2 linked regions of the Mus musculus genome follow. The protein of the gene in region 1 purifies or fractionates together with the protein of each later gene. This does not show direct contact. Links are inferred from orthologs where the notes say so. Each region holds a gene or a part of one and is shown on either strand. Other genes may lie near its edges.

Region 1 (4,164 bases):
AAAACAAAAAACATCTGGAGGAAGCTGTATCTAGAATTGGCTGACAGACCTTGAAAAATCCTCCCCTTGGCTTTTGGAGACCACAACAGCCTCAGAGACTAAAGACAAGGGCAGAGTGTAGAGAGGGACCCTGGCATCCCAGCCTAGAACCCAATCTTTATCTTACTCATTCTTCTGCCTCCTGCAATGGAAGAAGGGCCTCAGGCCAGATGTGGGGAGGGGAGAAAGAAGCGAGCTCCCTAAACCCAGCAACTTGGGTTTGAATTGCAGCGTTGATACTTTCTAGTTCTGTGGCCTCCATATACAATGTAGTCAAGTTCTGTGGCCTCCATATACAATGTAGTCAATCTATCTGTGCCTGAGTTTCTTTGTATGTTGAAGGTAGTCCTAGTACTTACAAAGTAAGCTGATGCAAAAACACACAAGTCCAGAATGATCTGGACATACTAGCAATAAATAAGTCCCTCTGCCTCCTCTTTACACAGGTTTCTATGCAGTCGCTAGCTTAGAGCTTTCCCGTGCACAATTATTCTCCACCAGGATTTATTCTCTTTTCTCACTGTGCATTTTACAAAAAGAGGATTAGGTGAGGAGGCTGGAGGGATGGCGAAGAATGCAGAGGCAGGAGACCAGACAGCTTCTCTCTCAGTTGAGACTCCTCCTGGCTCCATACTAGCAGATCAAATCACCAATGTCTGGATGATGAAAAGCAGGCTTAAGGGGGTGCTGTGAGGTCTCAGTCTCATACCTTCCAATGGATCTGTAGATAGACTGGAAGAGTTCCAGAGTACACACACACACACACACACACACACACACACACACACACACACACAGCTCGCTGCTCCCCTGCAGTGTCATTTTTCCCAAAGAGAGAGGCTGTTAATCTATAAAGCATTGGTTTTGCAACCTGTGGTTCACAATCCTTTTGGCAAACCTCTATTTCCAATAATATTTACATTACACTTCAGTAACAAATTCCATTTATGTTATGATAACAATAGTAAAATCACAGTTATGAAGTAGCAACAAAAATAAATTTACCGTTGTGGGGTTCACCACAACATGAGGAACAGTGTTAAAGGTTGCAGCAGCATTAGCAAGGTTGAGAAGCACTGCTCTAAAAGAAAAACACCCAGAGCACTCTCTTCTCCACTCACTGGAACTCAGCTACAAGCCTTCCCCTTGCATCTAAAGCAGTTCCCACCCCCTGGAGTCCCCTTTCCGCTTTCTGTGCATTCCCAGGTGATCTGAGATCCTGAAGCTATTCTCATCCTGTTGCCCTGGGAGTTTTCAGCGCTCCTGGTACAACCTGTTCCTCGCTCCTCAGGCTCTTTTCCTCCTCCCCTTCCTGTCCTTGCTGCTGGGGCCCCAGCTGAACCCTCCAGAGAGACACTCTCTGACTCCGTCCCCAGAGGAGAAACAGGAGGGGGAGGAGGAGAGGAGGGAGCCACAGAGGGCGGAGGCCGGGGAGCTCAGCCAGAGAGGGGCTGCTGGAGGTTGCATCTGCTGGAAGGAGGTTTTTCTGCTGCCTGGTAACCAGCTGCCAGAACACTGAGAGGGAGAGAGAGAGGCAGGGAGCAGGGGCAGCAGCTTCTTGACGTCAGGACCAGCCAAGGGGATCCAGCCAGCTACCCCAGCCAGCCTAGAGCCAGCGGGGGCCCTCGGCTGAAGAGGAAACCGCGAGGCGCGGAGCGTGAGTTGGGGTGTGGGAACCGGTTGTCTGGGGGCGCAGCATGCCCCTTGCCCCCGGGCCATGGAGATCTCCCTGGTGCCCATGGAGAACGGCAGTGCCATGACCCTCAGAGGAGGAGGGGAGGCAGGGGCAAGCTGTGTGCAGAGCCCCAGGGGAGAGTGTGGGTGCCCTCCGACGGCTGGACTCAATAATCAGTCCAAAGAAACATCACCGAGGAGGCGCGCCACACACGAGGATGCGGGCCAGGGTGGGAGGCCTTTGCCCCCTATGCCTCAGGAGCTGCCACAGCCTAGAAGGCCATCTGCTGAGGATGAGGAGGGAGAAGGCGACCCTGGCCTGGGCACAGTGGAGGAGGACCAGGCTCCTCAGGACTCAGGATCACTCCATCACCAGCGGGTCCTCATAAACATCTCGGGTTTGCGCTTTGAGACGCAGCTGGGCACCCTGGCGCAGTTTCCCAACACCCTCCTGGGGGACCCAGTCAAACGCCTGCGCTACTTCGATCCCTTGAGAAATGAGTACTTCTTCGACCGCAACCGGCCTAGCTTCGATGGCATTTTGTACTACTACCAGTCTGGGGGCCGCCTGCGCAGGCCGGTCAATGTCTCCCTGGATGTGTTTGCAGATGAGATCCGCTTTTACCAGCTGGGGGACGAGGCCATGGAGCGCTTCCGGGAGGATGAAGGCTTCATCAAGGAAGAGGAGAAGCCCCTGCCCCGCAATGAGTTCCAGCGCCAGGTGTGGCTTATCTTCGAATACCCAGAAAGCTCTGGGTCAGCAAGAGCCATTGCCATCGTGTCGGTCTTGGTCATTCTCATCTCTATCATCACCTTCTGCTTGGAGACTCTGCCTGAGTTCAGGGATGAACGGGAGCTGTTACGCCACCCCCCAGTGCCGCCGCAGCCCCCAGCCCCTGCCCCAGGGGCAAATGGCAGTGGCTCTGGTGTCCTTTCCTCTGGCCCCACAGTGGCTCCGCTCCTGCCTAGGACACTGGCTGACCCATTCTTCATCGTGGAGACCACATGTGTGATCTGGTTCACTTTTGAGCTGCTTGTGCGTTTCTTTGCTTGCCCCAGCAAGGCAGAATTCTCTCGGAATATTATGAACATCATTGATATTGTGGCCATCTTCCCCTACTTTATCACCCTGGGCACCGAGCTGGCAGAGCAACAACCAGGGGGTGGTGGTCAGAATGGGCAGCAGGCCATGTCCCTAGCCATCCTCAGGGTGATCCGCCTGGTCCGGGTGTTCCGAATCTTCAAGCTCTCCCGCCACTCCAAGGGACTGCAGATCCTGGGTAAGACCTTACAGGCGTCCATGCGGGAGCTCGGGCTGCTCATCTTCTTCCTCTTCATCGGAGTCATCCTCTTCTCCAGCGCTGTCTACTTCGCAGAGGCAGACAATCAGGGGTCGCACTTCTCCAGTATCCCGGATGCATTCTGGTGGGCAGTAGTCACTATGACCACTGTAGGCTACGGGGACATGAGGCCCATCACTGTAGGGGGCAAGATTGTGGGCTCACTGTGCGCCATAGCTGGGGTCCTCACCATTGCTCTGCCTGTGCCCGTCATCGTCTCCAATTTTAATTACTTCTATCATCGGGAGACAGACCACGAGGAGCAGGCTGCCCTGAAGGAAGAGCAAGGCATCCAGAGGCGGGAGTCTGGGCTGGACACAGGAGGTCAACGGAAGGTCAGCTGCAGCAAGGCCTCCTTCTGCAAGACTGGGGGACCCCTGGAGAGTACTGACAGTATCAGAAGGGGTAGCTGTCCTCTAGAAAAGTGTCACCTAAAGGCCAAGAGCAACGTGGACCTGCGAAGGTCTCTGTATGCCCTCTGTCTGGACACTAGCCGGGAAACAGATTTGTAAAGAGAGATCAAGGCAGACTTGCAACAGCAGAGCTGGGAACCGGTTCCTCTTGAGCTTGCTTATCTGCTTTACACCATAGAGTATTTAAGCCCACCTGGTCACCCATCAAAGTCCGGATCCTGTCTTTCCCCGTTTACCCTTCCCACCCTCCTGCCCTCTAACTTCCCCATCCCCCCCCCTTTCCATAACACCAAGGGTCACCTATTTTTAAAAAGTATCGCATTCCATGACGCAGGAGCCGTTGAAGTGGTGAGCATTCACTGTAAGATGGATGTATTCATAGCCAGTTTTCTATACCCAGCAGAGGGATAACTCAAACAAAATTGACTTTAAATAGCTCAGATCCCAAGAGAGTCCATAGCCCTCTCTATTCCTGTGTTCCAAATTTACTTTACACGTGATTATATTTGTATATGGCAAATATTATTCTTATGGCTGACGAGTGCATTTTGTACAGCAGTGCACATGAAGAATATTTGGGTGTGTTCTTAAGATGTACTTTGAATTATGAAGTCTTGGGGGGGGTCATCATTTCCTGGGACAACCCAGGGGCAGAGACACTAAAGAAGTTGTTCAAGTTTGTGTTCCCAAGCCTCCCA
Region 2 (3,306 bases), on another chromosome or scaffold:
TCACGGAGGTGGCTCTCTCAACACACCCACTCGAAACATTTGTGTCTGATTCTGTGAGGACCAGCTCTGCAAGAAGCAGGGCTCAATTGCGATCCCTGTACAGCTTATACTCCCGGAAAGGTGTCCAGTGAAGCTGTGTCTCCAGGAAGGCTGGGGATACCTGAGCCCACCACCGGGGCCCCCGCATCTCACCTGTATTGCTCCAATGTTCTCCATAAGTTGTTCTGCATTGGAAGCACCCAGAAGCACGGAGCTGACACCCTCATTCCTCAGGCACCAGGCTGTGGGCAGCGAGACCAGAGGTGAGGGCGGAACCCTCTGCAGGGCCTGCCTGCCTGAGCGTGCCTGGGCAAAGGTAGTGGAGCTCTTGTCTGGGGCCCGAGGGGGCTTGGGACGCTCAGTAGTACTGGGAGAGTTTGCCCATGGGGCTAGAAGAGGTTCTGGCCACACTGTCTCTGCTGGAGAGGTGGCCCAAGTGTTTAAAGATCCCTTCTATCCTCCATGACCCCTGGCTAGCTGCCTGAAGCTCTAGGCTGGTGGCCTAGGCTCTTAAAGAGACAGAGTCCACCTCTGCCCCTGAGAGTCCTTACCCTGGCCATCATGGGGGTTCTCTCCAGGGCCCCTTTCCACAGTGTAGCTAGACAACTACCTAAAGACATCTTGGGGTGGGGGAGGTATAGCTCAGGCCCTCAGGGACCCCAGGAGCAAGTGTCTCGCTATTGTACCCAGAGCCCATTTACCTATGGCCAGCTGGGGTAGGGTGCAGCCCAGGCGTTCGGCAATGGCCTGCAGTTCCTTCAGCTTGGCCTGCTGGCGGCGACCCTCCTCACTCAGGATCTTGTCCTTCAACCACTGGTAGCCCTGGGAAGGGGAAAGCCCAGGTAAGGGAAGGTCCCTGGACCTCTCGATGCAGGTACTCTTCCTCTAGAGATTCCTTCCTGGGCTCTTTTGTCCCCTGGCCTCATGCTTGGCCCTGGGCCAGACTTAGACTCTTTCATATCATGAAGGAGAAGGATGGTGGTGGATTGACCTGACCCTGAGCCAGAAGCACAGGCTGCCCACCGTTTGCCCTCAAGGCTCTTGTCTCCCGCATATGAACATTCTCATTCTTCCTGGGTGTTCTCTCACAGGGATGGGGTTGGACTTTGGGCCAACTCTTAAGCTTTGTCTGGGGTATCCAAGATGGGAGCGTGGGTCAATCATGGGTAAGGAACATATCATACACTAGTAGACCAGCTTGTACTGTGAATACTGAGCCATGGTAGGGGAGTGGTTCGTGGGCCTGCTTACCCGGGGCTAGCCCCACCCCACGGGTGGGAGAAAGGCCTGTATCCTCATTCTTATGCCAAAGGCACCCCTCCCCCCACAGCTGTGCTCACCTTCAGGGAGGCTCTGGAGTAGGGTGGGATCCCGCTGTCATACTTCCCTGAGACGATGCCGCACGCCAGAGGGGACCAGGTCATGGCACCTACTCCTGAGAGGGTGCAAGAGAGAGAGAGAGAGAGAGCAGGTGAGGTCAAGCTGGTCCTGAGGGGAGGAGAAGAGTGGCTGACGGCAAGGTAGGACAGTACCCACCTATCTTGTGGAACAGCTCTGGCAGCTGGACCTCCACCTTCTCCCTCTGGAACATGTGATATTCCGCTTGCTCGCAGATGGGCGGGATCAGGTTGAACTGCCGAGCCACCGAGTAGGCCTCCTGAGGTGCGGAAGCAGACCATTGCCATCAGCCACCTGCAGCCCCAGGGACCTTACTGCTCTCTCTATCCCCATCCCCACCCCACCCCCCAGCTTTCCTGAGAGCCCAGAGGGTGGGCTTTGGAATCCTAAGACTTAAAGGGCCGAGGCAAATGGGATCAACGGTACCTCAGTTTCCCCATTTGTCATACGGTTCCAATGAGTCAAGGTGCCTGTAGCTCTTCTAATTGGGCCTGGCTCATTACTGGCACTCCGCACAGCATGCCTGTTGCCCTGTGGCCCTGACCTCAAAGGTAGTGCTCCCTCAGGAGGCAGCAGCTCTGTCTGCTAACCCTGGGATCAGGAGCTTGGGGTCTTGGCTTGGAGGTGCTCCCTTAAATTCCATGGATGAGGTGAGCTCGCTACTGTGTGTAGACAGTTGTATGGCAGGGGACACGCTTGCCACTTAGGGAGGAGCTGTCCCACTTTGGTCTGAGACTCAGCTTCCTCATTTATAAAATGGGATAGCGACACTCAGATTTTTCTGAGTCCTGGCTGTGGGCAGTCAGAGCAAGATGCCCGACAAAGGCTCTGGAGTGTACTCAAAAGCTGACTTATGCCAGGGTCTTCTCAAGTCCCCCAGGATTTGAAACAGCCTAACCCCACCCACCCTTGTACTTCTTGCCAACACAGGATGAAGCAGGGACCTGTGATTCACTGTAGCTACAGCTATGGAATGCTGGGACACCGGGCATGGGTGGGGTGAGGCCAGATGAGGAGTGGAGGTGTGGGTAGGGAGGCGGGGTAGTCAGGAAAGAGTCTCTACGACCCCTCTGCCCTCAGGCAGCCTCATCATCTGGGCACTCCCTTCAGTGTCACTGTCAGCAGGGACATCCTGCTGACTCTTCCTGGGAACCACAGAATACCCAGGGACACAGGTTGCTGTAGCCTCTGACGGCTCCCATGGGAGAGAAGGACAATTACTGGGGTGCTTTGTTGAGAATAAGGATGAAGGGAGAAACCACGGATTAACAGAAATTTGGATCCTAGCAGCTGGGTTGGTCATTTTCCAAGACAGCCCAGGATCTGTCCGGCATTATCTAGGTATCAGCCTTGAAGTAAGGCAATGTAACCTAAAGCATGGGACTTCACCCCCATCCCTGACCTCCCCATTTGAGACATGGGGCAACATCAGCATTTACCTCCTGTGGCACTGTAGAGGTTAAATCTCAAATCCCACAGAACAGCCTACCACGTGGCAATGAGCATAGGTGCCGAGGCTTGCTTAGGCTCTAAGATCACACTTAAAGCTTCCTATAGGTTTTCCCCAGAAGCCTCAGAGCAGGCCATGAGGGTAAGCCATCCATGCAGGGCCATGTTGAGTCAGGTTGAGACCCATGGCTATGCCAATCACACCCTCGCCAAGCACACGTACCTAAGTCTTGGTTTCTCCTCCCACAAAAAAAACAAAAACAAAAACAAAAACACAAAACAAAAACCCCATGCCTGCGGACACACGGGCGTCACCCTACCATGATCTCCATGGAGCTCCAGCGTGATGTGCCCCAGTACATGGCCATCCCCTGGTTGATGACATGGGTCATGGCCCGCACGGTCTCTGAGAGAGAGAAA

The links. Proteins that work in one complex are often made in the same cells at the same time.
Region 2: the proteins of Kcna5 (region 1) and Kcnab2 purify together in Homo sapiens (co-immunoprecipitation; 3 studies listed by BioGRID and IntAct, counting the BioPlex papers as one, with this or other methods). This does not show direct contact. The link is inferred for Mus musculus from reciprocal best matches to the Homo sapiens genes KCNA5 and KCNAB2.

The regions. Positions count from the first base shown.
Region 1 is NC_000072.6:126,532,756-126,536,919, reverse strand, and holds the start of Kcna5 (potassium voltage-gated channel subfamily A member 5), read left to right. Parts: upstream 1-1,364; 5' UTR 1,365-1,756; coding exon 1,757-3,565; 3' UTR 3,566-4,164. UniProt on the Homo sapiens protein: Voltage-gated potassium channel that mediates transmembrane potassium transport in excitable membranes. Forms tetrameric potassium-selective channels through which potassium ions pass in accordance with their electrochemical gradient.
Region 2 is NC_000070.6:152,393,550-152,396,855, forward strand, and holds part of Kcnab2 (voltage-gated potassium channel subunit beta-2), read right to left. Parts: intron 3,293-3,306; coding exon 3,207-3,292; intron 1,697-3,206; coding exon 1,576-1,696; intron 1,475-1,575; coding exon 1,380-1,474; intron 862-1,379; coding exon 741-861; intron 282-740; coding exon 193-281; intron 1-192.